Linked DNA regions of Stegostoma tigrinum. The protein of the gene in region 4 purifies or fractionates together with the protein of the main gene of each other region. This does not show direct contact. Links are inferred from orthologs where the notes say so. Each region holds a gene or a part of one and is shown on either strand. Other genes may lie near its edges.

Region 1 (8,014 bases), on a different chromosome or scaffold from region 4:
ACTCTGGAATCAACCAAGTGAATCTCCTCTGCACCCCCTCCAGTGCTAGTATATCTCTTCTCAAGTAAGGAGACGAAAACTGCACACTGTACTCCAGGTGTGGCCTCACTAGGCCCCTATACAGCTGCAGCATTGCCTCCCTGTTTTTAAACTCTATCCTTCTAGCAATGACAGACAAAATTCCATTTGCCTTTTTAATTACCTGCTGCACCTGCAATCCTACTTTTAGCGATTCATGCACAAGGACACCCAAGTCCCTCTGCACAGCAGCATGCTGCAATTTTTTACCCCTTAAAGCATAGTCCACTTTGCTGTTATTCCTACCAAAATGGATGAACTCACACTTATCAACATCGTACTCCATCTGCCAGACCTTTGCCCACTCACTTAGACAACTGAGATTCCTCTGCAGACTTTCAGTGTCTGCTGCACACTTTGCTTGAGCCACTCATCTTAGTGTCATCTGCAAATTTTGACACACCACACTCAGTCCCCAACTCCAAATCATCTACGCAAATTGTAAACAATTGCGGTCCCAACACTGATCCCTGAGGCACACCACTGGCCACTGACTGCCAACCAGAAAAACACCCATTTATCCCTACTCTTGTTTTCTACTCGTCAACCAATCCTCTATCCACGCCAATATAGTACATGTAATACCGTGCAACTTTATCTTATGTAGCAGCCTTTGGTGTGGCACCCCGTCAGAAGCCTCCTGGAACTCCAGATACACCACATCCACAGGTTCCCCATTGTCCACCATCCAAATGATGTCTTCAAAAAATTGCACTAAATTAGTTAAACATGGCCTACCCTTCATGAACCCATGCTGGGTTTTCCCAATGGGACAATTTATATGCAGATGTCTTGCTATTTCTTCCTTAATGATAGATTCAAGCATTTTCCCCAATACAGAAGTTGAGCTAACTGGTCAACAGTTACCTGCTTTTTGTCCACTTCACTTTTTTAAACAGTGCTGTCACATTGGCTGTTTTCCAATTTGTGGGAACCACCCCAGAGTCCAGTGAATTTTGGTAAATAATTACTAGTGCATTTACTATTTCCCCCATCACCTCTTTTAGTACCCTGGGGTGCATCTCATCAGGTCCAGGAGACTTGTCTACGTTTAGCACCCATTAGTTTGCCCAGCACTGCCTCCTGAGTGATAATGATAGTTTCAAGGTCCTCTCCTGCTATAACCTTTTTGCCTTTCGTTTTCGGCATGTTATTTGTGTCTTCCACTGTGAAGACCGACACAAAATAACTGCCTCGGCTATTCCCTCATTTCCAGTTATTGAATTGACCTTCTCATCCTCTCAAGGACCAATGTTTACCTTTGCCACTCTTTTACGACATGCATATTTTGCTGCCTGTTCTTATATTCTGAGCTATTTTACTCTCAGAATCTATCTTACTTTTCTTTATAACTTCTTTGTGGCTTTCAGTTGACCTTTAAAGATTTCCCAGTCTACTAGTTTCCCACTACTCTTTGCTTTTTTGTATGTTTTTTTTAATCTGATACTTTCCTTTATTTCCTTAAACATCCATGGCTGACTATTTCTTTCCCTACAGTTCTTCCTTATCACTGGAATATACTTCTGCTGAGCACTGCGAAAAATCAATTTGAAAGTCCCCCACTGTTCCTCAATTGACCCAGCATAAAGTTTTTGCTTCCATTCTACCTTAGCTAACTCCTCCCTCATCCCATCATAGACTCTTTTGTTTAAGCACAGGACATTGGCACTGGATTTAACCTTCTCACACTCCATCTGTATTTTAAATCTGTATTTTAGGGCAGCTTGGTGGCTCAGTGGTTAGCACCGCAGCCTCACAGCACCAGGGACCCAGGTTCGATTTCAACCTCAGGTTACTGTCTGTGCAGAGTTTGCACATTCTCCCCATGTCTGCATGGGTTTCCTCCGGGTCCTTCTGGTTTCCTCCCACAGTCCAAAGATGTGCAGGCTAGGTGGATTGGCCATGTAGTGTTCAGGGTGTGTGGATTATAGGGGGATGGGTCTGGGTGGGATGCTCCAAGGAGCAGTGTGGACTTATTGGGCAGAAGGGTCTGTTTCCACACTGTAGGGAATTAATCTAAATTTGACCATACTATGATTGTGCCTTCCAAGAGGATCTCTAACTGTGAGATCATTAATTATTCCTGTCTCATTGCACAGGCCTAGATCTAGCATAGCTTGCTCCCTCGTAGGTTCCATTACATATTGTTCAAAGAAATTATCGTGGATGCATTCTCTGAGCCCCTCCTCAAGGCTGCCATGACTGACCTGGTTTGACCAATCGATACGTGGATTAAAATCCCCCATGATAATTGCTGTACCATTTTTACATGCATTAGCTATTTCTATGTTTATTGCTCGCCCCACCACAATGTCATTATTTGGTGGCCTATAGACCACACCTATCAGTGACTTATACTCCCTGCTATTCCTAATTTCCACCCAAATGGATTCAACCTTTTATTCAGTAGAGCCTATATCATCTCTCACTACCACCCTGATCTCATCCTTAAAAATCAGAGAGACACCACCTCCCTTACCTTCCTGTCTGTCCTTCCGAACAGTTTGATAGCCCTGGATATTTAACTCCCAGTCATGACCATCCTGCAACCGTGTCTCTGTAATGGCCACTAAATCGTACCCATTTGCCATGATTTGCACCACCAATTCACCCACCTTGTTTCGGATGCTCCAAGCATTCAGATAAAGTGCCCTTATGCCAGGTTTTGCACCCTTTTTCTGAGTCCTATCACCTCCATTACTAACAGCTCTTCAGTTCTCTTGAAGCTTCGTCCACCTACAGACATGCTGTTTTGCTTCCCTGTACGCTCACTCCTCCCTTCCCCCGTACTTACTAGTTTAAAGTGCTGTTGACCACCCTATTTACCCTTGTCACCAGATTAGAACAGGTTGATTAAAATATCTACAACTAGCTAGGCCACACTGACATAGAGTTATAGCAATAATTTGTATTTATGTGGTGTTGTAATATAATAAACATTCCGAGACATTTCATAAAATATAACAGTGAAACATAGTATGAGTTACTTAGGGAAATGATCAAAAACTTCAAAGATATAGTTTTTAACTTGTGACTTAAACGAGGAAGGTAGAGAGGTGGGTAGATGGATGTGGAGGGAATCCAGAGCTTAGGGATTGGCAGTTGAAGGTATGGCCACCAATGGTGGTGTGATTAAAATCAGGGATCCTCAAAAAATCAGAATTAAGCTTGCATTACCTCAGAGGACTTGTGGAGCTGGAACACATTATAAATAGTGATCAACAAGCTAGAGAAGAATTTTAACACGAGGGTAAAAATCAACATCCTGGGAGTTACCAATGACTAGAAATGAACTAGATACTGTGTAAATACTGGGGCTACAAGTGCAGGTCAGAGGCTGGGAATTCTGTGCCAAGAGACTTACTTCCTGACTCCCATAAGTCTACCTACCATCTACAGGATACAATCCAGGAGTGTAATGGAACACTGTTCACTTGCCTAAATACACAGCTTAAGAAATTTGACACCACCCAAGATAAAGTACCAGTATGATCAGTACACAATCCATCACCTTAAAATTCACTCCCTCTAGTGCAGACATACAATGGCAGCATTATATTCCATCCCAAAGATGCACTGCATCAGGTGGCTATGCCTCCTTTGAAAGCACCTTCCAAACATAAGACCTCATCCAGAATGACAAGCAGATGCACTGGAACACCACCATCACCCTCAATTTCACATCAAGCTATACAACATTCTGACTTGAAACAATATCACTGTTCTTTCACTCTTTCTGAGTCAAAAATATGGAACTTCCCTCCTAACAGTCCTGTGGGGGTATCTACATCCCATGGACTACAAAGGTTCAAGAAGGCGCTCACCGTCATCCTCTCAAGGGCAGGGCAACAAATATGCTCACGTCTCATTGAAGAATAACACAAAATCAGAAAACTGTTTAGTAGAGGTTGCCATGTAAAAACTGACTGCTTCATTTCTCATGTTGCATCTGTCAGGAACTAGGCTGTAATTGGCTGCAAATCTCAATGAGACATCTGATTATCATGCAAAGCACTATATAAATGCAAGTCCACTCTGCAGTGATAGGGTGGGAGGGGAATTAAACTAAAATACTAAGATGTTGTGAATAATAATAATAATAATAATAATAGCTGCTCAGACCACATTCCACCTGTGGTGGTTCATGAAGATTTGCCTTGCTTATACTAGAGTCAGAGCCAATGGGAACTGCAGATGCTGGAGAATCCGAGATAACAAAGTGTGGGGCTGGATGAACACAGCAGGCCCAGCAGCATCTCAGGAGCACAAAAGCTGGCGTTTCAGGCCTCGACCCTTCATCAGAAAAGCATTTGCATTTGCTGATGAAGGGTCGAGGCCCAAAACGTCGGCTTTTGTGCTCCTGAGATGCTGCTTGGCCTGCTGGGTTCATCCAGCCTCACACTTTGTGGAGGCAAAATGGTTCTCCTCAAGGCATTTACACTCAGCTAAATGCCTATGCTTCCTGAATGGACTTTGAATAAAGAACTTCCAGTAAGTGCTCACAACCTATGAATGTACAAAAAAATATAAGATTATGGTGTTGTTTAACTGTGGCTAGTGTAGCCGAGGGAAGCAGAGGGGTAGTTATCAAATCAGAGCTCATGGTACAAAATAAAGCCAACCATTCCAAAATAGTCCTCGTATCTGTATTTCAAAATAATCACCTCGAAAAGACGTATTAAACACTTCCTGTGGCAAAACATTCCATGCTCCGACATTTTTTTTAAACTTCGAGCAATTGTCAGGAATACTCGAACAGAATGGGGAATTTGAAGGGACATGTAAGTGAGACCACTCAACGTGGATGGATTCAATTTCCAAATCCTTGCGACATCTCGATGGAAAATGGAGCTGCCAGGAGAGGGCGCGAACTTGCTGCTGCAACAACAACAACAGCATCAGCAAACAGCGATACAAATGCAGGAAAAAAAAACAAAGCAAACCATGACAAATCCAGGAGGGAAGAGAGGAAAATAAGTGACCAAGAGCAACAGTAACAAAAAAAATTTCCCAAATTACTCTGGGCTAAAATCAAGGCACACATTGCATGGGGTGGGGGGCAGATCACGTGGTAGGACAATTTCGCCCGACACGCCACCAATAAACTTAAATTAAATTCTTATACTGATGACAAATTCTGACAGTTTGTAGTTGATTTATTGAGTTTGATGAGGTAACCCAGATGTTTTTTGGGGGTGGGATAGCTTTAAAAGTCAACTGATTGATTCGGGCTCGGCCGATGACGTTGGGCCGAGGGAGAAGACGCCATATTGGAATCGGGCAGACAAAAAAAGCGAATAAACATAAGCAGAGTCGGAGAGAAATCGTCGCCATCGAGGGTTTGTTCAATGATGTTTTTTTCTTAACACTTTTATTCGAGTGTCAGGAGTTAGGATGTGATTTTATTTTTGGAAACGGTCGCTTACCTGCTGTTATTTATGAAGCTGCGTAGGATGTTGATTATTTTTTCCTCTCTTCCGTTGGCCGTTGCTTTGCTGTAAGGCCACAAACACTCTGTTTTGTCGTTTTTTTTTTGTTTTAATGTGTTTGACCGTGTCTTTTAAAATTTCGTGTTTTGAATCCAGTTTTTTTAAATTATGCGTTTTTCGCGAATATGTCGAAAGATTTCGTTAAATGTCTTCTGAAAATTGTAATTTACTTAATTTCTGATAATGCTGTCGAGACTTGTTTTTCTCTTTATGAATTTTTTAGGAAGTGTTTGAGCTTAGGCTGTTCCTTTTTTTTCGGGGTGACGGAGTGGTAGAAGGCGGCCGGAATTTTATGAGCGAACTGGTGTAAATATTGACCCTTTTCTCCCTCACTTCACTCTTTCTTGTAAACTATAGCTTCTCACTCCGTCTGCTGGCTGGTAAAAGTACATAAATATCTATCTTGCATATTAAATAAAGCGCGTGGATTTTTGTTTACTCCTGTGAAGCTAGATTTTTCTGTTCCAGTTTTCGTTCTGTTTATGTCACTACAATGTGACAGATGGTGTTGGGCCTTTAGGGTTTTAAACATCATAATCTTGCTGTTGTTCCAAAAAAGATAAAAAGCTAACAATAGTTTGGAATGTTGATACTTTCTTTAATTTCAAGCGATAGAACTTATTTTTAAAATTAAAAATGTCTAAGCTGTACTAGAAATTCTACCTCAATGGCTAAGGTTAAGGTTAAGTTCTTGTAATTGAAGTTTCTGCAGCCCTTGGTTGTTTTTAAGGACGGTTATCAACTTTCATTTAAATTTGTTTACATTACATTGCCAAAGTTTGCTATCTTGATTTTTATGTTGTGAATGCAATCTTGTGTAGATGGGATAAAGATAAATTTGTTACAAAATATTAGAAAAATAGTGACTACTTGTACATCACTTTTTTTCGTGGTAAAACATCCCCAGGCACCAGAACGTTTGTTTTGACAATGATACCAAAGCACAAAGAAGTTCCCATTGGTAAAATTTGAGCAAGGAGGTGGGTTTTAAGGAGTACCTTAAAGGAAGGAAATAAGGTTGACAAGGTTTTGGAAGTTGAATTCAAACTTTTTTGTTTCAAAATTGGTTGATTATCTGCTTTGATTTTTCCCTCCCTGCTTAATACATAAGACATTTAATGTCCTTTTCGGGAAGGAAACTGCCATCCTTACCTAGTCTGGCTTATGTGTGACTCCAGACCCACAGCCATATGGTTGACTCTGAACTGCTGTCTGTGCAGTTAGGGATGGGCAATAAATGCTGCCTAGCCAGTGGTACCCTCATCCTCTTAATTGTTTAAAAAAAATTTTAAAAATTGAGTGTTCAATCCCTCTTACGTAACCATGTTTGATTTTTGGAAGGTTGATATATGTTTGGAATATTGTACCGATGATTTTTGTTTTGAGGTTATTTAACTTAGTCTGTTTGAACAAGTGCATTCTGATTTGTCCATGCTGTTCAGTTTAACTAAGTTTTTCAATTTTGGAGGCAGAAGTGATAGGATAGAATAGAATAGAATGGAGTAGCGCAAAGTCAGCAATTAATTCAGTGTTTAGTATAGATGTGTTTCAACTTATTGAAACAGTTTAAAATACCTGCCTTTGCCCTTTATACACTAGTTATTAGTCTATTCCACTGCAAAAAGAGCCAGTGGCAAGTTTTAATAATGTTAACTACCTATGTCCAATGCAATGTCGAACTTGTTGTAAATTGGATGAAAATGATTAGGTCCAGATCAGTATTATAAAATGGCAAGCTATTTGATTACTTGGAAGCTGGCAAAATAACAGTTTTCTTACTGTACATAAAATATGCTGCAGGCCATTTGGCCTGACCAGTCCATGGCAGTCTTAATTCTCCATGACACCTCCCATCTCTACCTGCTCTAAATCTATTATCGTAATTCTCTAGTCTATCTCCCTCATGCCCGTCTATCATTTCCCCTGAAATACATCTAATCATTTGCTTCAACCACTCGTATGGTAGTGCTTTCCACGTACTGGCCTTTATCGTGCAAGAGTTTTTCTGAATTCCATATTCTATTTCTTGACTTACCTTATATTGATGGCCTTTAGTTATGCTTTTTGCTACCAAGCAGAATCATTCTCTATGTCCACTATATAAAGTGATGAAAGGTTTTGATAGAAACATGTAGTTCACCTCCCAGCTTGTGTTTTGAAAGGAGATCCAGGCTGTTCACTGTTTTGATATGTGTATTATATGCATGTGTATTGTTATAATCGAGGGCACCAAGGCTCCTAGTTCCTGCATCTGTGCTGTCCTGTCCTAGTGCTTCTGGATCGAAGATGACTTGCTTCCTCTTCCTTCTCCAACTTAATAGATTTTGACATTTCTGATCAGTCTGACTGTTCTGTCCCATGCAAAACAACTTGTGCGTGAAGGATAGGTAGATAGTTGCTCAGAAGTTTGCGTACTGTCCTGATATCTTCTGTCTCTGTGTTCCTGA
Region 2 (6,840 bases), on a different chromosome or scaffold from region 4:
TGTGCAGAATATGATTTAGCTATACTATAAATTGCAATTTTCACTAGAAGGGAAGTCTCATTGGCCCTGTGTGCATCTTGGTTCAGTGCAGGTTCATTTAGTCAATCATCCAGTCACCTTAGAAATCCAGTAAAATACCCACAATGAAACAGACAATACTTGCCACAGTACAACGATACAATCAGAAAGCAGGATCAGAAATACTAAGAATTTTCCCACCTTCCAAAGTGGAAGTGTCAGAAATTTAGATCAGCTGACAAGTATGTAACACACAGCTCATTATTTCAATCTGCTGCAATGATTGGGAAAATTGATGAGGGAAGTTATCAAAAAGCTTAAAAGTTTGTCAACTGTTGAGAGATCAACATTTAGAGGATCCACAAAACTTGTCTGTTAACCAGGAGGTACGGTGTTTACCAAAGACCAAAAACTATGCTCCTCCTCCAGCCAAGGCGTTATAGATGAATTTGGTGGAAATTTTTAAAAAAATCTTCACATTACATATTAAAACACCCAGTAAGATGAAAGTGCATCTTGCTGATGGTACGTAGTATCCTTCAGTAGTGCAGATAAAAGCAGTGCTTGAATCATTCTATCTTTCGCCCATAGTCTATTTCACGGTCAAGAACATATTGCAGATTGTCAAACATCTTTACAAGGGAGTACACAACTCTTCAGCTGTTAGTTTTTGCATTCAGTGAATAACTTGCAATGCTTGAGCCTTTAACTTCAGTTTTCCCATTTATATACAAAATATAAAAATTTAACTCTGCCCACCAACTGGCATAGGGCAACAAATTCTCGTATGAAATTATAATTCCTTTCTTTCAAATTGAGTATACGAAAATATACAAATAATTACATGGTTTACACTAATATACAGAATTCCACTTCATTACTAGCACCACTTGCATACGGTTATCCCACAATCACAAGGAGGAAGTTACAATTGTCTAAAATGCAGGACTTTCTGCTGCAACAAGTCCAATCCTGACAGAAACATTCTTAATTTTTTCGTCTAGTACAATGTTTAAGTTAACCTGAACTACTCTTGAATTACACATTAACCTTGAGTAAAGTTTTTAAGTGGACAGTCATTATTTCCTTACTCTCATCAGGATACTCAGCATGTGCTCCTACCCAATGACTGGGCGGTTTAGGTAGAACACTGGGTGATGGTGGCTCACTAAACTTTGGCCCAGCATAGTTTTGATCTCCTTGAAGGCTCAGCACAGACTTCAGTCCAACTTTCAGTAATTTTAGATTCTTTGAGTGGTGTGCAGAAACAATCGGTTTTTCTCCATCTTTTTTGACAGTATTGCAGTGTTCAACAGAAGGAGCATTCTGATTATGGCTGTTTTCATTCCTCTTTATTGAAGTTTTTCTCAACTGTAGGCTACGTCTGTTTCTTTTCTTGGCATTTAAAGGTTGGCAATACTCTTCTGTTTTATTTACACTATATATGAATTGTGTGTGTGGAATTATTGCTTTATCCGATCTTCCCATGTTGGATTTGGTCACCTGGGGCAGAAAACAAAAAAAAGAGAAAGGCTGCAAAATTTGAGAGAGCTAACAGCCATAAGTGTTTTTCTACGTTCTTAGTGAATGCCCCAGTGGGGAATTCCCTCTTTTATGCCGTTATCCGTGAAACTGGACAATCTAACAAAAACGATTAAGATCAGCTCCGTTTATCGAACTCCTATCATCTTACGAAGAGATTCTTCTCGCTGTACCTCAAGAAGATAGTTAAGGAATGGGGGACGGGGGTGGGACAGGGGGAAGAGAAGAAAAGGAGCGGAGAGGGAGATTTGACAACTTGCGAGAAGTCTCGGCACTGACCCTGCCCCTGCCCCCCGGAACCTCGTGAACCGTCACCTGGGGAACGGCTGGCTCTGTCGCCATTGGTCGGTGGATGAACTATGCTGATTGGCCACTTGTTGCTGGGGTGGGCGAGGAGGGAAAGGGGAGGGCGCGCGGCGTAACAGCCGTCGAACGGCCGCAGCGTTTAAACAGGGCCCTTCCCGCCCTGAAGGCAAGGCTAGGACTACTAACCGAGAACGGCGAATGTTTCCCACTTACCTCCCCCCTTATTAATTCCTAAACAGTGGGATGCAGGGCAGGCACGTAGAGGCATCAACTTTCTTGTCTCTCACCTTTACTTCCTTCTTGCGCTCTTCCGCGGTCAAGCAGCCGCCACTGGCTGGTGTCGTTTTCTCGATCCCGGAGGCTGGTGCGGGCCCTCCAGCCCCACCGCCTCGGGAAACCGGCCGCCCGTGAGAGTGTCTCTGCAGCAGCGCGGCGGAGGAAGAGCAGCGAATCTTCCAGGCTCGACTCACCGCGGCAGCTTTGCCGGGATGCTGTTGGGGATATTGCTGATGATGATGCTGCTGCTGGCTGGAGTGCGGGTGACGGTGGCGGCTCACAACGACGGTCTTTGAGGCTGCATTGACGGGCGGAGGGCCTGGCGGTGGTCGGGGTAGGGGTAACGGGTGCATGGGGACTCGCCGCCGCCGCCTCTTCCTCCGCTTACGACTTCTGGCTAAAATCCCGAACTCAGCATCTGAGGTGCGACGTTCAACGAAGGAGGCGGTCACCATGCAATGCCAAAAAACGTCTAATTCTTCCAAAGTAATTGTTGAGAAGCAAAGGAGGGGGTGGGTCCGGGGAAAGAGGAGAGTCACTGGCCTACCTCCAGATAATAAATACAGCTCGTCGTCGGATTAAAAGTTGAGTGAAAATGGCGGCCACTGAAGCGACTTCCTGCGATTGTTCGGTCACTCGCAAAACCTTCCTACCTCAGACTCTAGCTTTCCTCCCAACGCAAGCTATATATATATATATATATATATGTATATGTCGCTGGCTGGGTTTAATAACAGGCAAAGACTAAGAGGCCGACTCCAGCTTATAAACAGCACGAAGAACCATGGAGGCAACAGTCTTACACTTCTGACAACAACGGGGGGGGGGAATGGAGAAGGCAGGCGATCGCGACACGTCATCACTCACCGGTACCCACCAATGGTAGCGCGTTGTGGTGGTGCCACGTGACTAAAGACTTGGTCGCGCCGTCCCGTCCCGCCCTGTTCTTGCCCTTAGCAACCATGATGTCATTGGTCTGAGAGACGAGCCCGGATGCGGCAACGGGTATTGAAGTTGGGCGCAGGCGCACATAAGTCTGTCGCTTGTCTAATTTCTTGCAGTCGTACGTGTAACCTTTTTAACTATTTGTTTTGCCGTACTTGCTTACAGTTCCCTGTTTCCGTGAAGACCGTTGGAATTGAGTTTTGTGTATGTGGGCAGTGAAATGATCATCACGTGACGGTAATTTCCGTCTCTGGGGCGGTGACGTCTGCGCTGTCGGACGTCCTGAAACCTGTCAGTCCATTCAGATCGAAATTCGAATTCTTGCTCAATGACACGTGGTGTGGCGATGATTTCCACTGTTTTTGCTGTGGGATTTCCCTAAATTCCCCGGGAATACGGGAAATTGTACTCGTTGACACGCAACGAATTTCCTAAAACCGAAGAAGCGTTCTTTGACTAAAACGCTAATTGATTTCTGAACTTCCTTACGTTGACATTGTGTAACATAAATATCAGTCAATAAAATGATTATTTTCAGAAGAAAAACACGATTCATTCCATTTTCCCCCTGTACTTCCGTAAAACTTCCAATAGCTTTCTATTTCTTATACGAAAAGCACGTCCTCAGCCCGGGTATTCGAATGCGTTCAGGAATTTGCCTTAAACATTGCCACCTCCCCAAGGCAATGAGTTTATGCTTTTGATTCTGACGCAATCTATAGCCCTAGGAGCACCAATGCTTTGGAAGAGTTTTGCAATTTCATATCATAGAAATTAACCCTTTAAAAGTGATCTTCAAGCACCATCTTTGTAAGGACATTCTCTAGTCTGCACTGCTTTGGAACATTTTATTACTGTTTCCTACTCGCTACCCAATCGTTCACAGGCGATCAGCCACTAATGAATTTCTGGATAAATAATTGTACGAGTGGAATTAACGTTGAAGTTATTTCTGGATCAGGCAAGTACCTTCGAGGTGTGTCACAGCATATCCAAACAGGTTTATTAAACATTGGCAAGAGATGAGCAAAAAAAACTTTTTGAGTCACTAATTTGGGTTGAAGATAAGATCCTAACTTTTTGCAGACGCTATTTAGATACTTAACACTAAAATGTATTTAAAAATTATATATTCTAGTTTTTGTTTAAGTTTGTAGTCCTTGGTTTAAACATGGATTCTACTTGTGACTAGAATTTAAAAAGTACAACTATCATAAAATTACAAGGCAATTATTGTTCAGCAAGGCTGTTTTGTCTATCTTAATTTATCTAGCTATAAACATCTTAATTTTAATAAATTACTTTTCACATGCAAAATTAATTTCTTCTTATTCATTTGTGTGGTGTGGGCGTCACTGGCTGGCCAGTATTTCTTGCCCGTCCCTAGTATTTCTTGATAGCAATCAAATATGTTTAAGAGTCTGAACTGGTGTCCCATACATTCTACTCAATCAATTTGATTTATTCTATGCAGTGAATATCTAGCTCATGTTTAGAATATATTTCAGTTTTAGAATACAATTAAGAATTAAAGTTTAACTGGAAAAATTGAGATAAATGCAATTTATAGTTGAAACATCTGATGTTGTTTAAAATGTTGGTGCATGTTGCCTTCAGAGGTTAACATCTAGAAAGGTAATATCATAAAACTGTCAGTAAGCTTATTTTGTGAAAAGTTGGAGATGTGCAGCTCAGAGAAATAGCAAGAGCTGCAGATGCTGGAGTCAGAAATAACAATGTGGAGCTGGGGAAGTACAGTGGGCCAGACAGCATCAGAGGAGCAGGAAATTTGACGTTTGGGTCAGGACCGAAAATGTCAACTTTCCTTCGGTTGAGAGAGATGTAAATTAACTAAGCTTGAAACAGTTCAGTAAATCCTAAAAGGTTGGAAAACCCAATTACTTCATATTAAAGAAGGTATTATAAATTAAAGGAAAGCTGGAGGAATCCCTTTCTTCATGAAGCTTGCTCTATCACTCAAGCAGCTCATGGCTGATCTACTTCAACATTATTTTCCCACAGTCTTCATTTTCGTTTATTATTAATAGCTGCAAGTCTATTGATCTTGCACTTGAATATTTTCAATAACTTATATTTTCCACACTTCTCTCAAGTACAGACTTTCAAAGATTTATGATTGTCTCAATGAATAAAAACTTGTCCTCATCTCAGTTTTAAACTCATTCTGAGACTGCAAGTTAATTTAAACATCAATTTTAGTATAACTCAGAGCAGGCTATATCAGCCTGGTGATGGATAGAGTGCAATCAGTTTTTCTAGTTTCAGTTTGTCACAAACGTTTCCTCAGAAAGTTAGTTGCAGAGTTTACCTCATGTGGTTTGCAGAAGGTGGTTAAATAAATGTTAAGACCTGCATTGTAAGCTATTTTCATCATTGACCATTACGTGGGTGAGATTTAAATTCCGTTTTAATTTTGTGAGGGATTAGAAGATGGAAGATTGTCGAGTTTGAAGGCAGTAGTTCCTCTCAGTGTTATTGCAAAAGAAACTGGAGCAGTTTGGAATACTGGAAAAGTAACCAGAACAAAGGACTGAGGTAATCAGATTTTTTTTTTTAAAAATTAACAACTCCTAGGGAGATTGTCACAACTACTGTTCTCACACCAATTAGGATAACCTTAGATGCCTCCTTTCCTGTCCTCAATTTTTCCTTATAAGTCAAACATTTGAGATTATGAATCAGTCCTTTCTCTTCACCAGTTCTAATGCTTGAATATCTCACCCTTGTGGTTCATTAACTAGATTTGAAAGAACTGATTAAGCATAAAGTAAAACAGAAGAGAATTTGACTTTATTTTTTGAAAGGAATCCAATTAGTTCCACTTACTTGCCCCTTCTGTATATCTTTGCTAAATATAGTCATTGAACCCTGCTTTCCCCACTGTTTCAGACAGCTTATTTATTTTTATGAACTTGCAGCATTCGTATTTTCTCTTATGTCCTTGTTATGATTGAATCTTCCTGTGGTCATGATGTCTGGGAGCAGGAATGCTACCCCTGATACCACAAAATCTCCAAAAGCCACTTTTAATCAAGTGTTTTGACATACCTTTGGGGCAAATAATACTTGAAGTTAGATTCTACCACTGTACCACAAAGACTTCTCCATTTCTCACTTCATGTTGCCTGTAAGTATTTTGGGAATTATCCTAAATCTGTGTCTTTTGGTAGCTCGTTCTTTTGCCAATGAAGAGTTTTGGAAATATGGCTCCATGTTGTAGAGCTAGTGCATGCATTAGTTATGATTTTCCAATAATTTCTTGAATGGTCCTAGTCAACATACAGACAAGGAGCAGGAGTGAGCTATCCAACTCATTAAGTTTGTTCTGCCATTCAATTAGATTATGATTGAATTTGTTTTAGATTTTGTAAGAATGCAGGCTTGTGTATTTCCTGAATGATGACACGTCATGTTAGTCATGATGTGGAGGTAGCGGTGTTGGAATGTGGTGGACAAAGTCAAAAATCACAACACCAGGTTATAGTCCAACAGGTTTTTTTTGAAATCACAAGTTTTGGAGCATAGCCCTTTCGTCAGGTGAAATGAGAGAGAAGGACACTGACACAGAATTTATATGCAGAAAGATCAAGCGCAGAAAGTTCAAAAGAACATATAAATGATGTGAGTGGAGTGTCAAATAATAAGTTTCTGCATGTGATCAAAAGTGTCAGTCTGTGTCAGTATAGTGTCAACAGTTGAATTGCAAGCGAAGGGATCCGATTTATTTATTTA
Region 3 (7,388 bases), on a different chromosome or scaffold from region 4:
CCTTAAGAATATAGAAGTTAATTAAAGAGCTGAGCATAAAATTCACAATTTCTTAGAGATTCACTCAAACCCCTTCATTTACCTCAACAGCTGACAACATTTAGACTGTTTTTACCAAGTTATCAACTAATTTCTTATGTATAGTCACAGTATACCAAGCAAGCAACTCTGTCCCTTTTAAGTCCCCAAATAAAGAAACCTGGTAAGATTATTCTATCTTGGATTTCTAAGAAAATAGTTGAGTTGTAAGATGAGGGGCTTGAGATGTCTCTTTTCAAGACTACTTTGAGTTGCGATTATAGGGTTATTTCTAATAGCTTGAAGTTGGTCAACTGCGTCGACAAAAAGTTTACTGTAGTTTAGTTCAATCAGCACAAAAAACACTACCAAATATTACACCATGGTGGCTCTCCTAACTGTTGGAAAAACTCATTCATCAGTGTTTTATCCTGTGGAAAGCTTTATGACATTAGCAGTGGAACAATCCCATCATGAATTAGTCTTAATGTATTATGATGAGGTAACTTGTTTCATTCAGATGCCCACAATCATCCATATTACAGAGATTAACAGGTCGACTTTCTGAAGTTAAACAAATATACAGCCCTCGTTTATTGGAAAATGACGCTTCGAGCCTTTTAGCATCTTAATGTGGCTAGATTCCTTCAGTGAAACGTTGGAAAATTCATCCCTTGATTGTGGAATATTACCCAAAAGAGAGCACTTGTTCTGGAAAAGATGGTGACTTATCTCATGAAGGCAGAGGCTCAGAGCAGTCATTTACACTCAGCAGAGGAAAAAAATGTGGTCATTGCTGCTATACAAGAAACACAGTGGCCAGTATGTGCTCAGCAAAATCCTACGAACAGTAATGTGACAACGACAAGATCATCCAGTTATGTTACAGACAAGCAACATTTTAAACTAACAATATTTTCACCCACCAGTATGCATGTACTGCTGCAGAACGAAACATGATACAACAGACCCAACAGCCTAACATATTCTACTCTATCAGGAAAGGACAGATAGGTTAGAAATACAAGCCCTGGTTTTACCTTCAATGTATTTGTAACTGGACTTATGCATGTGGTTAATCTACAAACAAACACTTATGCAGGAGTGTTAGAATGGTGCTGTAATAAATTTGCAGCTTGTCAAACCTCAAAACATAGAATTTGACAACACTCCAGGGTGAGAGATGTTCACGTACTTGACGTTCCTGTCAATACCAAACTGGCCGGCATGCAAGACCCATTATTATAGCATCATAGAGCTGTACAGCATGGAAACCTTGTTGCAAACAGACCCTTCAGTCCAACTCATCCATGCCAATCAGATATCCTAAATAAATCTAGTCCCATTTGCCAGCATTTGGCCCACATCCCTCTAAACCCTTCCTATTCATATACACATCCAGGTACCTTTTAAATTTTGTAAGCATACCAGCCTCCACCATTTCCTCTGACAGCTCATTCCATACATGCACCAGCCTTCGCATGAAAAGGTGGCCCCTCAGGTCCCTTTCAAATCTTTCCCTCCTCACCTTTAACCTATGCCCTCTAGTTTTGGATTCCCCACACTGGGGAAAAGACCTTGACTATTCACCCCTTCCATGCCCCTCATAACATTATAAACCTCTAAGGTCACCCCTCAGCCTTTTGAAACAAACAGTGAAGGTTTTTATCCTTGAACCTTGAAAGCCATGATGTATATCACAACGCAACGTACACCTATAGGGTTAGTATGCTCAGTAGTCTTGAAACATTGAAGTTCTTTTTACCGCAAAAGTTTAAAAAAGTTCCTTTCCAGAGAAGGCGTTAATTTCATAACGTACAATGTAAACTGGCTTAGACTGACAGGCTCATTTTCCTGTCCATAACACGTTATATAAAATGAAAAAGATTGCAAGCTTGCAAATATTAAGCAAACCATCAGTGATTATAACCATTTTCAACAAAGGTCAAAATTAAACTTGATGAAGCATGAGAATATCAGAAGATAACACTCAAGAGGGTCTGTCAACATAAGTCTGTATTAGTTTAACAACACGTGTTAAACTGAACTAAGCAAAACTTTCTACCATTATAATTGAACAGGAAGGGGATTCAGATGATAATTTACAGCATCAATTCAAATTAAAAAGTCTAGATGCAGGTTATGATCAAGTAGGCCAAATTATCAACACTACTACTTTCTTGGCTCTTTTAAGAATAAAGCCAACATACGTTGACTGTCGGTGCATCCACATCTGAACTTATTTACAAGCTGTCGAAGCAATCCGGTAAGAAATTTCTGCCTGCACGTTAGACTGTGATAAACAGTGTTATTCCAGGAAACGAAATTGAAAGTCGACTGGCTGACCAGTGAAACATATTGAACAACAAAAACAAATTGGTTCCGAAGGAGGGTCACTACACCCAAAACGTTAACTCTGCTTTCTCTGCACAGACACTGCCAGACGTATTGAATTTCTCCAGCAATTTCGTTTATTGTTTCATATCTCCAGCATCCGCAGGTCATATAGTTCTTTTCGGTCAATATCTGGCATCAGCAAAGACACCACCCTCTGGAAGCACTACATTCGAGCAGCTAACCCCACCACACGGACAACGGGCCGGTAGCAGGTCCCCGATTCTGAGAGAACCATCTTCGAGTAACTAAGCCCCGCGAAGGGAAAAAGCAGTGCCTCAGGGGACAGCCAATCTACGGTGGAGGTCCCAGTAAACAAGGCCTGGACTCCGGATTAAAGCGATTCACTCCACCCAACCTCCAGGATTCCCGGGTAACACCCGCCCAGCCCCAGTAAGTCAGCCGCTTCCAGGGCTTCACGCAGCCTTTAAACAAAGCGGCCCGGGCTCTATACTTACCGGAGACCCGGTCCAGCTTTAGCATATCCCGCAGGTGCTGTGTAGCATTCTCAATATCCATCTTAGACGCCTGGCTGAGTGGCGACGGCAGCGGCCCGAAAACCAGAGGGATGCGCACGCAGCCACCCCGCCAAACAGTCGGCGGTGCCACGGACAAACAGGTCTCTTCCGGTGTAATCACAAACTCTCCCTCTGACTGCCGAACCCCAGCCCAACGGACCGTCCTGGAGCGATACGATGCACCCCGTCACCAAATAACTTTGTACTCCTAAATGAATAACAAGGTTCATTCACGCCTGATATGATGATGTACCAATGGATGCATATGTAAGTTTCACGAAGAAAAGGGAAACATGTTGCAGAGAAAAAAAGATCATACGGTGTGAAATGGAATGCTAATTTAGGTTAAGGGATGGACCTCCAGAAATGCAGGACCAAACATTTGGAGGCAGAAAGCAGAGACTAGTGGCAGCTTTGAGTTGAGAATGTGTCATGCTTTTGGGACGGTTCAATATGCTCTCAAGTCGGAAGACAATGCAGGACAATATAACAAAAACAGAAGTTGCTGTTTTGAACAGTTCTGAGGAAAGGTCACTGAAACCAAAACGTTAACTGTTGATTTCTCGCCACAGATGCTGCCAGACCTGCTGAGCTTTTCCAGCAATTTCTCTTTTTCTTTCAGATTTCCAGCATCCGCAGTTTTTTTCGGATTTTATTTCCTGTCTAGTGCAGAACAATTTAAATCTGAAAACATCAATAAGAAGGAAGGAAATAGATCTTTAAGGAAATTTAACCAAAATATATAAACAGATTGAAAAAGTTTCTTCAGATATTTTTAAAAAGTTAACAAAGCAAAAAGAAGTAGCCCATGAAACAATTGATGCATTGGTTTTAATTTCCCAAAACTGATTTGATTCAGGGAAGGTTTCTTTAGATTGAAAAATAAGTAGTCTAACTCCATTCGTCAAAAAAGGAAGGGAAGCAGGAAACTGGAAATTACAGGCCAATTAACATTATTTATCGTTGGGAAAATGCTTCCGTCTATTATAAAAGATGGTACAACAAGACATGTGGATAAATTCAAGGTAATCAGGAAGGTAGAGAAAGATCCCAGAGAGAGGTATAAGTAGATTGTTGACAGTCAGCCAGGGAAGAAAAAAAGCTAAATAGTTGATAACAGAGACTATGCGTGTGTAAAAATAAGTTGGCTATGCTGAAAGATAAGGATGGAGTTGTTTAGGTTCTAAAATTATTGAACTTTATATATATATGAGTCCTGAAGGCTGCAAAGTCACACATGGAAAATGAGATGCTGTTCGTCTACCTTTTGCTGAGCCTTGCTAGAGAACGGCAGCAGCTGAAAAAGAAGGTTAGCATGTGTTGAATTGAGAGGTAACAGGAAGCTTATGGTCATTTTTTACAGACAGAACATAGGTGATAGTGAGTTTTGAGAAGATTTGTAGCTCAGGTTGAGGTTCTGGCTGTGAGTTGCTCGCTGAGCTGGAAGGTTAGTTTTCAGACGTTTCGTCACCATTCTAGGTAACATCATCAGTGAGCCTCCGATGAGGTGGTGTTCTACAAAGCGGTCACCTTGCTTGTATTTCGTCTCCCCCATGTAGTGGGGACTGCATTGTGAACAGTGAATACAGTCGACTAGATTGAGTGAAGTGCCGATAAATTGCTGCTTCACCTGGAAGGGGTGTCAAGGACCTAGAAGAGTGAGGAAATTGTAGGTAAACAGACAAGCGTTGCAAGTTCTGTGATTTCATGAGAAGGTGTTGGAATTGGAGAAGGAGGAGAGAGCAGGGTGTCCCAGAGGGAACGGTCCCAGGGAAAGCTGACAAGGGAGGGGAGGGGAGGGCAAGAGAAGGTATATCTCATAGTGCCAACCTGCTGTAGCTGGTAGAAATGTCTGCTCATTGTGCTTTGGATGCAGAGGCCAGTGAGATGGAAAGTAGAGATTGGGGGACCGTATTGTTGATGTGGGAAGGAAGAGAAGGGGGTTGGCAGAAGTGCAGGTGATAGGTCTGACTTGGCTAAGGGCACTGTCAACCACAGGGGTGGGAAATCCTTGGTTGAGTAAGAAAACGGAGTAACTTTTCACCAGATGCTATCAATTCTGAAAAAGGATTATTCTGTTTTCCCTCCACAGACATGGCCAGATTTTGCAATTTTCTCCAGCAATTTCTGTTCCTGTTCCAGATACTTACCGTTGGTTTGGTATTATCCTAAACCAATAACTTAAAATTACAGAAAATAATTATCAATTGAATAGAAAATTCGCAGACCTTTTTGCACGATCCTGCCATGACTTCAGTGAGAATGCAATGGATTAACTGCAGACTAGGCAACATCTAGATCCCGATCTGGGATGAGAGTTTCCTAACACCTGATCAAGTCAGAGGTCCGAGTTTCTCCTCAGCACAAACACAGCTATCAGCAAACAGGCGTTGTTCTAAAGCTGGAAGTTCTCACTTCCCAGCCTTGGTTAAAAGATGGAGCAGACTGAGTGACACAGAGTGTGACCTGGCCTAACAGCTCATTGAATGGCAAGTGTGTGAACTTAGCTAATATTCAAGCCTGAATCAAAGCGAGAAGAATCATACCAGACACGAAACATTAACCCTGTTTCTCTCTGCACAAATGCAGCCAAATCTTAAGTTTTCCAGTAACTTCTATTTTTTATTTGAGTAAAGAAGGTTTTGTTTTGTTACATAGAGTCCGAGGGTGCATTGGTGACTGCTTCCACTGCCCAGTATAGTGTATGTTAATTTAAGTATGAAGCTCCCACAACATGCAGACAGCCAAATGTATCTCAAGTGGTTAATATGCAATAGACTTAGATAAAAGAATCGTGACAACTTTGGTACTCTCACTACCACTGTATAGAAAAGGTATACCTCAGCACTGCCATATCAGTGCAGCTACCATATTACTATCCGTGATGTAAACATTGATACAGGGTTCAAGAAATGATTTTCCCTCATAGTTGTATCAGTGGGTTGAAAGCAGAAGCTAGGACTCCAAATGGACCAACATTCTTCCCCACATCGCATTCTCCAGACATTATGCTGACTGAAAATACCATGCATTGTTCTCATTTCTGAACATTTGTGTCATAAACAGATGATACTGGATCCAGAATGAAGTCACAGACTGGCTTACTTGGATTTCTTATGTCATAATGACACAAGTAAGCTTCTCCCCCTTCTAAGCAAAGTGCAGTAGTGTTTCATAGCTCACATCATTGTATAATTGTTTTTGCATATAGGTGATGATTAGGCTATTTACTGACCCTTTCTCCATTTGTTGGTACCGGTTTGTTCTGGTTTTATAGTCCATGTTATTTGCTTTCTTGTTTCCATACATCAAGTTGTTTGACTTGTCCTTCTTCTCCCTGGTTCTACATAGGATACCTTCAATGATTCCCAGGACCTTTGACCAGCTATCCTAACATTACACCAACATATCATGCATAAACGTAGAAGATTGTCTAGACCTCCCTTCGTCTGTTTTCATCTTGTAGGTAATTCTCATTATATATTTCTCCCTGTAACTTTTAAATGCCTCACTGAATATTCTTTTCATTTTAAATTTTACTCACTTATCAACCACTATTTCAGTTTCCCATTGGATTATGAGTCAGTATACTGGCAATTTGATGTTTTCTTGTTCTTCAGGCCACAATAAGCATTGTGTCAAATAACTGAAAACTCTGAAACCCAGTCTGCAGGGCATTTTCACCATGATCCCCTCATGTTAGTTACTTCGGATCTAAAAATCAGTTCAGCACCTTTATAGTCATCCTAACGTCATGCCACACATGCTTGACTTTCAAGTGATATTCAAAAATCGAAAGTGGTGTAGGAGTGCTTGTATCTCCTCCCTGTTTGGTCCCAGTGTTTTAGTGACTAAAGCATTCACTTAAGTTGTCTTTTACAAAAGGTCATGGTCAAGGGCACACATATTTCCAAGTGAAAGCTCCCAGTTAATTTCAATATCAATTAATTAATCACCTCTACTTTCTTTTCATGTGATTTAACAACGCCTGTCATTATAGTTTAATTCTAAGTGTGCAGTCCCTTGCTTGCCTGATTTTCCCTGATTCAGGAGCTCTCGAAAAACATTATTTGTCCTGTTTAAAAGAAAATGTTTTCATAACATCTTTAAAACCAATGAAACATGGCCGCGTGGTTCAAGGCATTACTAAATACTATTTATTGTTGTTCTTTGTGTTCAAAAAAAATCTCAAAAGTAACTTGCTAAACTTTCTTATTTTATAGGGATTCCAAAAACTGTGAAAAATTCAAATTTATGACCAGCCTCAGCTGTTGGATAATAGGTTTTGTGATAAATTTATTTCTTCACAAACAATCATTCCTTTTCTTTCTAAAAAAAAACTTAACAACATCCAGGCAACTTCCGTTAAAATATTTTAATTTAAAACAAGTCTGCTCTGGCATACATGTGACTCCAGACCCACAGCAACGTGGCTGACTCCGAATTGCCCTCTGGCAG
Region 4 (7,962 bases):
CAGATAACTATGGTCAATAGATTTTTTTGGGGTTGTAGGCAGATTTGCAATTCAGTTCCATGGGTCAGCATTGTGATCTTTCCTCTACTAATATAGAGGCACAGAAAGTAGGAACAGGCGTAGGCTATGTGGGCCCTTTAAAATTCAATATGATCATGGCGGATCATCCCACTCAGTATCATGTTTTCACTTTCTCCCCATACCTTGTGATCCTTTTAGTCTCAAGGACTAGATCCAAGTAATTCGTTCTTGAAATATATATATTAAATAATCTAGGTTTTGTGTGCAGGAGTTAAATTTCAAAGTTTTCAGAGAACACAAAACTTGCAAGAATTGTAAAATGCAAGGATGGTAGTGTTAATTTCACTAGCAAGTTTACGATAGGGGCAATAAATGACAATGTAGAGAAGAATTTTGGTGGGAAGAACATACTGAAAGACAATCTAAAATAATGGGTAGAATTCTAAGGGAGTGTAGGAGTAGATAGACCTGGGAGCCTATGTGCAGAAGTCATTGAAAGTGCTAAGACAGGTATAGAGACAGCAATAAGTAAAAAGTACATAGTCCTTGGTCTTATTAACTGGGTCAATAGCAAGGAGATAGACTTGTACAAGACACTTTTTAGATCTCAGCTTGAGTATGTTGCACAGAACTGGCACCATATTACAAAGAACGTCAAAGCATTGAAAAGAGCGTAGAATCTATTTATAAAAATAGTTCTAAGGATGAGGAACTTCAATCTACCTTCGTAACTTAAGTAGTTAGCCTTCTTCTCTGCAAGGAGAACAGTCCTAAGAGTAGATATGATGGAAAATTTTCAAAATCATGAGTGAATTGGATACAGCAAATAGGGAAAAACAACTCACACTTGTGAAAAAAAAAGCAAGTACAGAAGGGAATAAACTTAAAGTGACCTGCAAAGAACCAGGGAGAACTGAGGACAATATTTTTCAATTAGCAGGAAATTAGGGTCTGGAACGTACAAGCTGAAGCGTGGTGAAATCTGGTTCCATTGAGACACTCAAGAGGGTTTTGGGAGATTATTTCTATCCAAATTATGTGGAATGTTACACAGGGTGGGGGCGAAGCAGGAGATTGGCACCTTATAGTGATGCTCATTAATGTACTCGTAAAGACACAATGGCCTCCTTGTGCACTGTGACACTTCCCCAAAATTGTTTGTTTCCATTTTGTCAGCAACTTATAGTCTTAATATATTTTAGTCAATTGTGACAACAAGTTTTAAAGTATGAAATCTTATTGAGCTATTCTTTGAAGCATAAACTTAAAAATGATATTTGAATTTTCAAACTGTTTCAATTTTAAATACTATACTTCATAGCAAATTCAAAACAAAAATTGCAGGATGCCATGAGTCTGATGATGAAAACGTAGATATTCTATTGATTTAGCATAATAGGAATCCACACATCCAAGCTTGTCCAGAAAACATAAAATAGACAATATATGTTGTATAAAAAGGACGTATCTAATTTCATGTGATTTAACAAAATTATCAAATGAATTTCAACATAGGCAAGTATGGTTCAGTAATGCAAAGCCCTGAAATACTACATGCAGTTTAAGAGTGACACCATAGCAAAGATACGTTAGATTTGGAAAGAGTGGAGTACAGGTTTTACCAGATTGATTCAGGGGCTCAGTGACCCAACAGAATTGGGTCACTTGCATTTCCAGAGATATCATTTGTCCTACATTTCTGTACCTTTCATGAGGTAGTCAAAAAGACAAACTACAGTCACTTCTTTCAATTCCCATTGTGGCTTGGTGTAGTTGCAATGTGTTCCCATTAACCCCAAGCTGTTGGCAAAATACTCAAAGAGCAGCCAAACATGCAGATGACAGGCTCTAATTCCACATTATTTTCATTCATGGAATTTCTTGAAAACCCCATCAACCCCAGATGAAGTGTCCCTTCGATCATTTCATAACAGTTGGTCATGCTGCCTGGACTGTACAGATTAAAACTCAAACGGACAAATCACATTAAGCCTGTATTCTTGACCATTTATAACGTTAGTGGGAACAAGTAAAAAGGTGTAGAGAAGTTATTTCTACTGGTCAGTGAGTCTGATTACAAAGGTATTGTACATCTAAGAGTATGAACCAGGCCTTGCAGGAGTGCAGTTAAGAAACACATTTTACAGACAAAGAGTGAAAAGTTTGGACTCTTCGTCCAATAGTAACTGCTGTAAGGTCAATCGATTTTTCTTAACCAAAGAAACTGAAGGATTTGGCTGAGGAAGAGCATACGGACATCACAATTCAATGCTAGTCTCAAGCCACTTGAGCCTTTTCAAGAAACTTTAGTAATGTTATTTGATGATTAAGGAAAGACATTGGATAAATATAAGAGAATGAAAGTGACAGAAGGTTATGTTTCATAGCGCAGGATGAAGTCTGGTGCGAATAGTTTCGTATGCAACATGAATCAGTATGGAATTAGAGTATAAAAAGGTCTTCAAGCTGTTTAATGTTGACCGTTAAGTTTCTACCTTCTTATTTAACTTCAACACTCAGACCTTCAAGATATTAGACTTGAACAAATTTGTGCTGCAGGGCCAAAAGCAAAATGCAGAGACACAGCCGCCCGTCGAAAACTTCAAAAGGCTTCCCAGGCAAGTAAAGCAGTTCATAAAGATCGCTGCCGTTTTGGTTATTCTTTTTCCTCATCCCCAGCACGAAATGAAGAAACACCATCTTACCCACTCACTGGCCTTTGGGTTAAAAGTATACAACGCAACCTGGCTGGTCACATCGACGATGCTGGAGATGAAAGGGTCATTTTGTTTCAAGGCAGAAAGGCTTATATCGCGGCCTTTACTCAGGGCCTCCATGTTGGATTTCCTGAGTTGTGTAAAGGAGAAACTCAAGAAATGTTCCCTCCCCCTGACCTTCTTCCCGGAAAGACAAACCATTCACTGCAGCAAAATATCCGCACGCCTCAACACTTCCAGTTTGCAGATTCAAATGGAGCTTTTTTCTCTTCCGCTTCACATCGGTAAAACATTAACGCAGTTTTTTTAAATGAGGGATAAAATTGTGAAGATCGAGCATTACCCCTCCCTTTACAATAAGGATTTTGAAAAATTCTTCTGTGACTATTTTGCAGCCGTCATTTGTCCCTCGTGCCTCACCATTACTTATTCCAAAGTGAACGTGTCACTACCACTTGTTAAATCAGACACATCAACGTATCGTTAATAAGTGTAGCTCATAAGTAAATTTATTGCACCGGCGTAGCCCTGGTAATCCGCAGGAATAACAGCGGCAAAGCTTTGGGAGATTTTTAGTCATCAATCTTATAAATGGTGAGGTATCCCATTAAAAATAGCAAACGTATGCGTATGATTAAGTGGTACAGTAAACAGGTGCAAATACAGTAAGGAGCAGTTCGCGTGTTATTTAATTCGAATTTCAGTCAGTTATAAGAATCACTTCGCGTACGTAACTCACTGCGAAGTCCTGGCCGTACCCTGATATACAAATAACTGCTTCGTGTGCACACATTGATTTATTTTGGAGAGTCATTCTTGATTTTCTTTTTCTACACATTATAGAATGCCAGAGGGATGCTACTCGACCACAAAAACTCACATTTCCTCTATATTAAAAAAAACTGCGAGTGCTGGAAATCAGAACAATAAAACAGAAATTGCTGGCGAGAAGAATAGTAGGCACTGCCGATGCTGGAGAATCTGACGTTTCGGGTCTAGACCCTTATTCAGAAAATTTTCAAAATTAACAAATTTTTCCTGTTTTTGGCAATACTCAAGTTTTGTGAAATTAAACTACTTCAATAAATAATTATTTCAAACATGTAGCAATTGACAGGCCTCTAAAATTGCACAGTTGCTTATTAAGAGTTGAGCAATGGAGATTGTTCATCTGCACTTTTCAAGTTTAGCGTGATAATGATTTTGAAAGTGTAACTGTACGTGAATCAGAAGAGTTTTGTTTTCTGGCAGGATACATAAGGAAGTAGGATTGGGAATGGGCAGTGGTTTGAGATTGATAAGAGACATAAAAAGACTATGAGGTTGACCCCTTAGTCTAGGGACATGGGTTCTTCCTTTAGGACTTCTGTTGAGTGAATGTGCATCAGGTCCCATGTTTCAATCTTGGATGAATGCTCCTGTTGTGTTTCCCATAGTCCAAAGCAAGATTCTATACAGAGAAACTTCCTCATCAGCTACTGAAACATACTGTAGCATAATGTTCTGCCATCTGGAGGTGGCAAGGGCTCCTGGGGAGTATATTTGAGACCTTCTGCAACCATTGGGTACCTCAGGGGCAGGCGTGAATCTTGTCTACTCTCTTGTCTTGAGGAGCCTGTGTGATATATTTATGTACACTATACAATAATGTATGTCCTCTTTCAATATTTGAGGGCTGTTCTCAACATTTTGTTACATCTTAGCCATCCAGTGCAATGTGGGGTAGTCAGATTGAAGAACTTATTTTTTAGCATGCTCATGGGCCTGGTAATTAACAGGTCCATCAGTGAACTGTTGAGGAAGTTATTTGACCCAACTATCTGATTCTTTTTTCTTGGATATATCCATGCTCTGGTGTCCATGGAGATGGAACATCGGTGTCCATCAATACTGGAGGTCTTTTGTAATCAGTTATGCAGGGCACATAGCACTCTTTCTGTGACATTTTGGAAGACTCCACTAGAGCAATCAAGCTATCATTGGAATCGTCCCATGGCCTGCTTGATAATTGTTTGAGTTAACCCCAGAAGATGTTGTATTTATCCACTGCATATATTTGTTGGATGCCTTATAGGCATTGTTAGCTGTTTCTTTAATGAACAGCCCTTGTCAACCAGTTTCATCCTTGAACATGGATGGAACAAATATTTGGGTACCTAATTGGGTCTGACACCTAGTCTTTCCTAAGTATGTATGTGGCACAGTTGCTTGACTGAAATGTTGCACAGATGAAATGCACATTGTGCAGAAGGTCTTCCGCTGATAAAGGCTGTTGCCTGGTTTGTGGAAGCTTGTTGACAACATGCATGATAACCTGCATCTGGACTATCCAGAAATGTCCCTAAATCATTCAGTATTCTCAGCTGTGATCCTGAGACATAGAAATTCAGCACCACATAGACCTTTCATGCCACAGGCATTGAGCCATTTCTGATGTGGCTCAATTGATTTTCCAACATAGGTAATAGGTCTGTGCCAACCTACCTAGAAAGGCACAGTCCCCTGTGACACTCTTATTCTGACAATTGAAGATAGTTGAGGTTCAGCTAATAGACATCCTGTCTGGCCAGTAACTTCTTCTTTGTACATAAGACTGGATGCGTGCTCTTCTGATTAGTTTCTTTTGATTTTCATTTGCTTTATTGTTGCCACATGTACCTAAGTACGGTGAAACACTTTGTTTTATGAGCAGCACAGGCAGATCATTAGCAAACAAAGACGTACAGATCATAGGGTGCTTAGACAGAGCAAGGCATACAAGGTTACAGCTACACAGGAGGTGCACAAAGCAAGATCAACTTTAGGTTTGAAATTTGAGCAGTCCATTCAGCAGTCAAATAACAGCAGGGAAGAAGCTGTTCTTGAACCTGTTGGTGCAAGTATCCAAGCTTCTGTTTCTTCTGCCTGACAGAGAAGGTTGGAATAGAGTTTGTGTTGTCATCCATTCGTGATGTAGTTGTATACCGGTGCCAATACATGATGTCTTCCAGAGTGACTGGCAACTCATTAATATCTGCAAAACAAAATGCATCATCCATATTGGTCTCTATCTCAGATGAGGATGCTAATCCAGACAAAGCTTTGGTAATATAATGACCTTCCAATTGCTTGTACTTAACATTTCACTGTTAGGCAGACAAAATCAAAGTCCATTTCTGCTTTCTGGCTGTTATTGAAATGGATATTGCTGACTTTAGATTCAAAATAGCTCTCAATGGCTTATGATCAGCTTTGACTGTGTGAAACTACAGCATACAAGTATTTATGAACAACAACAAAGTTGCTGGAAAAGCTCAGCAAGTCTGGTAGCATCTGCAGAGGAGAAAAAAGAGTTAACGTTTCGGGTCTGGTGACCCTTCCTCGGAACAAGTATTTATGAAATTTGTCTTGCTCCAAAAACAGAAGGTTTAATGTTGAGAGATAACAAAGTGTCGAGCCGGATGAACACAGCAGGCCAAGCAGCATCAGAGCAGCAGGAAAGCTGACATTTCAGGTCTAGACCCTTCTTCAGATATAGGGACAGGGAGGGGAATTCTGATGTAAATAGGGAGAGAGGGAGAGGCGGATAGAAGATGGATAAAGAAGAGGATAGGTGGACAGGAGACAGACAGGTCAGAGCCAGTAAAGGTGAGTGTAGGTTGGGAGTTACGGAGGGCATAGCTCAGACCAGGGAGGACGGACAGGTCAAGGAGGTGGGATGAGGCTGCTAGGTAGGAGATGGAAGTGGGGCCTGAGGTGGGAGGAGTGGATAGGTGGGAGGAAGGACAGGTTAGGGAGGCAGGGACAAGCTGGGCTGGTTTTGGGATGCGGTTGGGGGAGGGGAGATTTTGAAGCTTGTGAAATCCGCATTGATACCATTGGCCTGCAGGGTTCCCAAATGAAATATGAGATGCTGTTGCTGCAACCTTCGGGTGGCATCTTTGTGGCACTGCAGGAGACCCAGGATGGACATTTCATCCGAGGAGTGGGACGGGGAATTGAAATGGTTTGCAATGGAAGGTACGGTCATTTGTTGCGAACGGAGCGTGGGTGTTCCATAAAGCGGTCCCCAAGCCTCCGCTTGGTTTCACCCGATGGAGAGGAGGTCACATCGGGAACAGTGGATACAGTGTATCACATTAGCAGATGTGCAGGTGAACATCTGTTTGATATGGAAGATCTTCTTGGGGCCTGGGATGGAGATGAGGGGGGAGGTGCAGCACATCCTGTGTTTGCAGGGAAAAGTGCTGGGTGTGGTGGGGCTGGTGGGGAGTGTGGAGTGGACAAGGGAGTCATGGAGCAAGTGGTCCCTCCAAAAAGCAGATAAGGGTGGGGAGGAGAAAATGTCTTTGGTAGTGGGGTCAGATTACAGATGGTGGAAGTGCCGGAGGATGATGCGTTGGATCCGGAGGTTGGTGGGGTAGTATGTGAGGATGAGGGGAATTCTGTTTTGGTAGGTATTGCGGGGAGGGGGTGTGAGGGATGAGTTGCGGGAAATTCTAGGTAGGAACAGGACGTTTTGCGCACAAAGTGCTCAACAGTTCATCCACTTCGTTAACACCTTCCACCCCAACCTTAAGTTCACCTGAACCATCTCCAATACCTCTCTCTCCTTCCTGGACCTCCCTGTTTCCACAGGTAGCTGTGGGAGTCAGTAGGCTTGAAATGGATATCGGTTTTGAAGTGGTTGCCAGAGTTGGAAACGAGCTCCTCGTGGGCACCGCCTCGTGTTCCCACCTCCTAGAATACATCTCCTATTATTCAACTTCCCACAAAAATGCCATCCCCTATTCCCAATTCCTTTGCCTCTGCCAAATCTGCTCCCGAGATGAGGCATTCCACTTTCGGACATCCCAGATATCCTTATTTTTCAAGCAGCACAACTTCAACAGTGGTTGAAAATGCCCTCGACCGTGTCTCTCACATTTCCCACAACTCATCCCTCACAACCCCGCTCCCCGCAATAACAATCAAAACAGAATTCCCCTCATCCTCACGCACCACCCCCACCAACCTCTGGATCCAACATATCATCCTCTGGCACTTCCGCCATCTGCAATCTGACCCCGCTACCAAAGACAATTTTTTCTTCCCAATCCTTTCTGCTTTCTGGAGGGAGCACTCTCTCCATGACTCCCTTGTCCGCTCCATACTCCCCACCAGCCGCACCACCACCACCACTTTTCCCTGCAACAGCAGGAAGTGCTACACCAGCTCCTATACCTCTCCTATCACCCCCATCCCC

The links.
Region 1: the proteins of dcp1a (region 4) and ddx6 purify together in Homo sapiens (affinity purification with mass spectrometry; 8 studies listed by BioGRID and IntAct, counting the BioPlex papers as one, with this or other methods). This does not show direct contact. The link is inferred for Stegostoma tigrinum from reciprocal best matches to the Homo sapiens genes DCP1A and DDX6.
Region 2: the proteins of dcp1a (region 4) and pnrc1 purify together in Homo sapiens (affinity purification with mass spectrometry; 3 studies listed by BioGRID and IntAct, with this or other methods). This does not show direct contact. The link is inferred for Stegostoma tigrinum from reciprocal best matches to the Homo sapiens genes DCP1A and PNRC1.
Region 3: the proteins of dcp1a (region 4) and edc4 purify together in Homo sapiens (co-immunoprecipitation; 9 studies listed by BioGRID and IntAct, with this or other methods). This does not show direct contact. The link is inferred for Stegostoma tigrinum from reciprocal best matches to the Homo sapiens genes DCP1A and EDC4.

What each region holds. Positions count from the first base shown.
Region 1 is NC_081385.1:2,254,042-2,262,055, reverse strand, and holds the start of ddx6 (probable ATP-dependent RNA helicase ddx6), read left to right. Parts: upstream 1-5,013; 5' UTR 5,014-5,417; intron 5,418-8,014.
Region 2 is NC_081357.1:40,544,293-40,551,132, reverse strand, and holds the start of pnrc1 (proline-rich nuclear receptor coactivator 1), read right to left. Parts: upstream 3,017-6,840; 5' UTR 2,598-3,016; coding exon 2,154-2,597; intron 1,522-2,153; coding exon 1,057-1,521; 3' UTR 1-1,056. UniProt on the Homo sapiens protein: Nuclear receptor coactivator. May play a role in signal transduction.
Region 3 is NC_081369.1:18,117,101-18,124,488, forward strand, and holds the start of edc4 (enhancer of mRNA-decapping protein 4), read right to left. Parts: upstream 3,012-7,388; 5' UTR 2,932-3,011; coding exon 2,871-2,931; intron 1-2,870. UniProt on the Homo sapiens protein: In the process of mRNA degradation, seems to play a role in mRNA decapping. Component of a complex containing DCP2 and DCP1A which functions in decapping of ARE-containing mRNAs. Promotes complex formation between DCP1A and DCP2.
Region 4 is NC_081364.1:29,252,675-29,260,636, forward strand, and holds the start of dcp1a (mRNA-decapping enzyme 1A), read right to left. Parts: upstream 3,012-7,962; 5' UTR 2,940-3,011; coding exon 2,727-2,939; intron 1-2,726. UniProt on the Homo sapiens protein: Necessary for the degradation of mRNAs, both in normal mRNA turnover and in nonsense-mediated mRNA decay. Removes the 7-methyl guanine cap structure from mRNA molecules, yielding a 5'-phosphorylated mRNA fragment and 7m-GDP.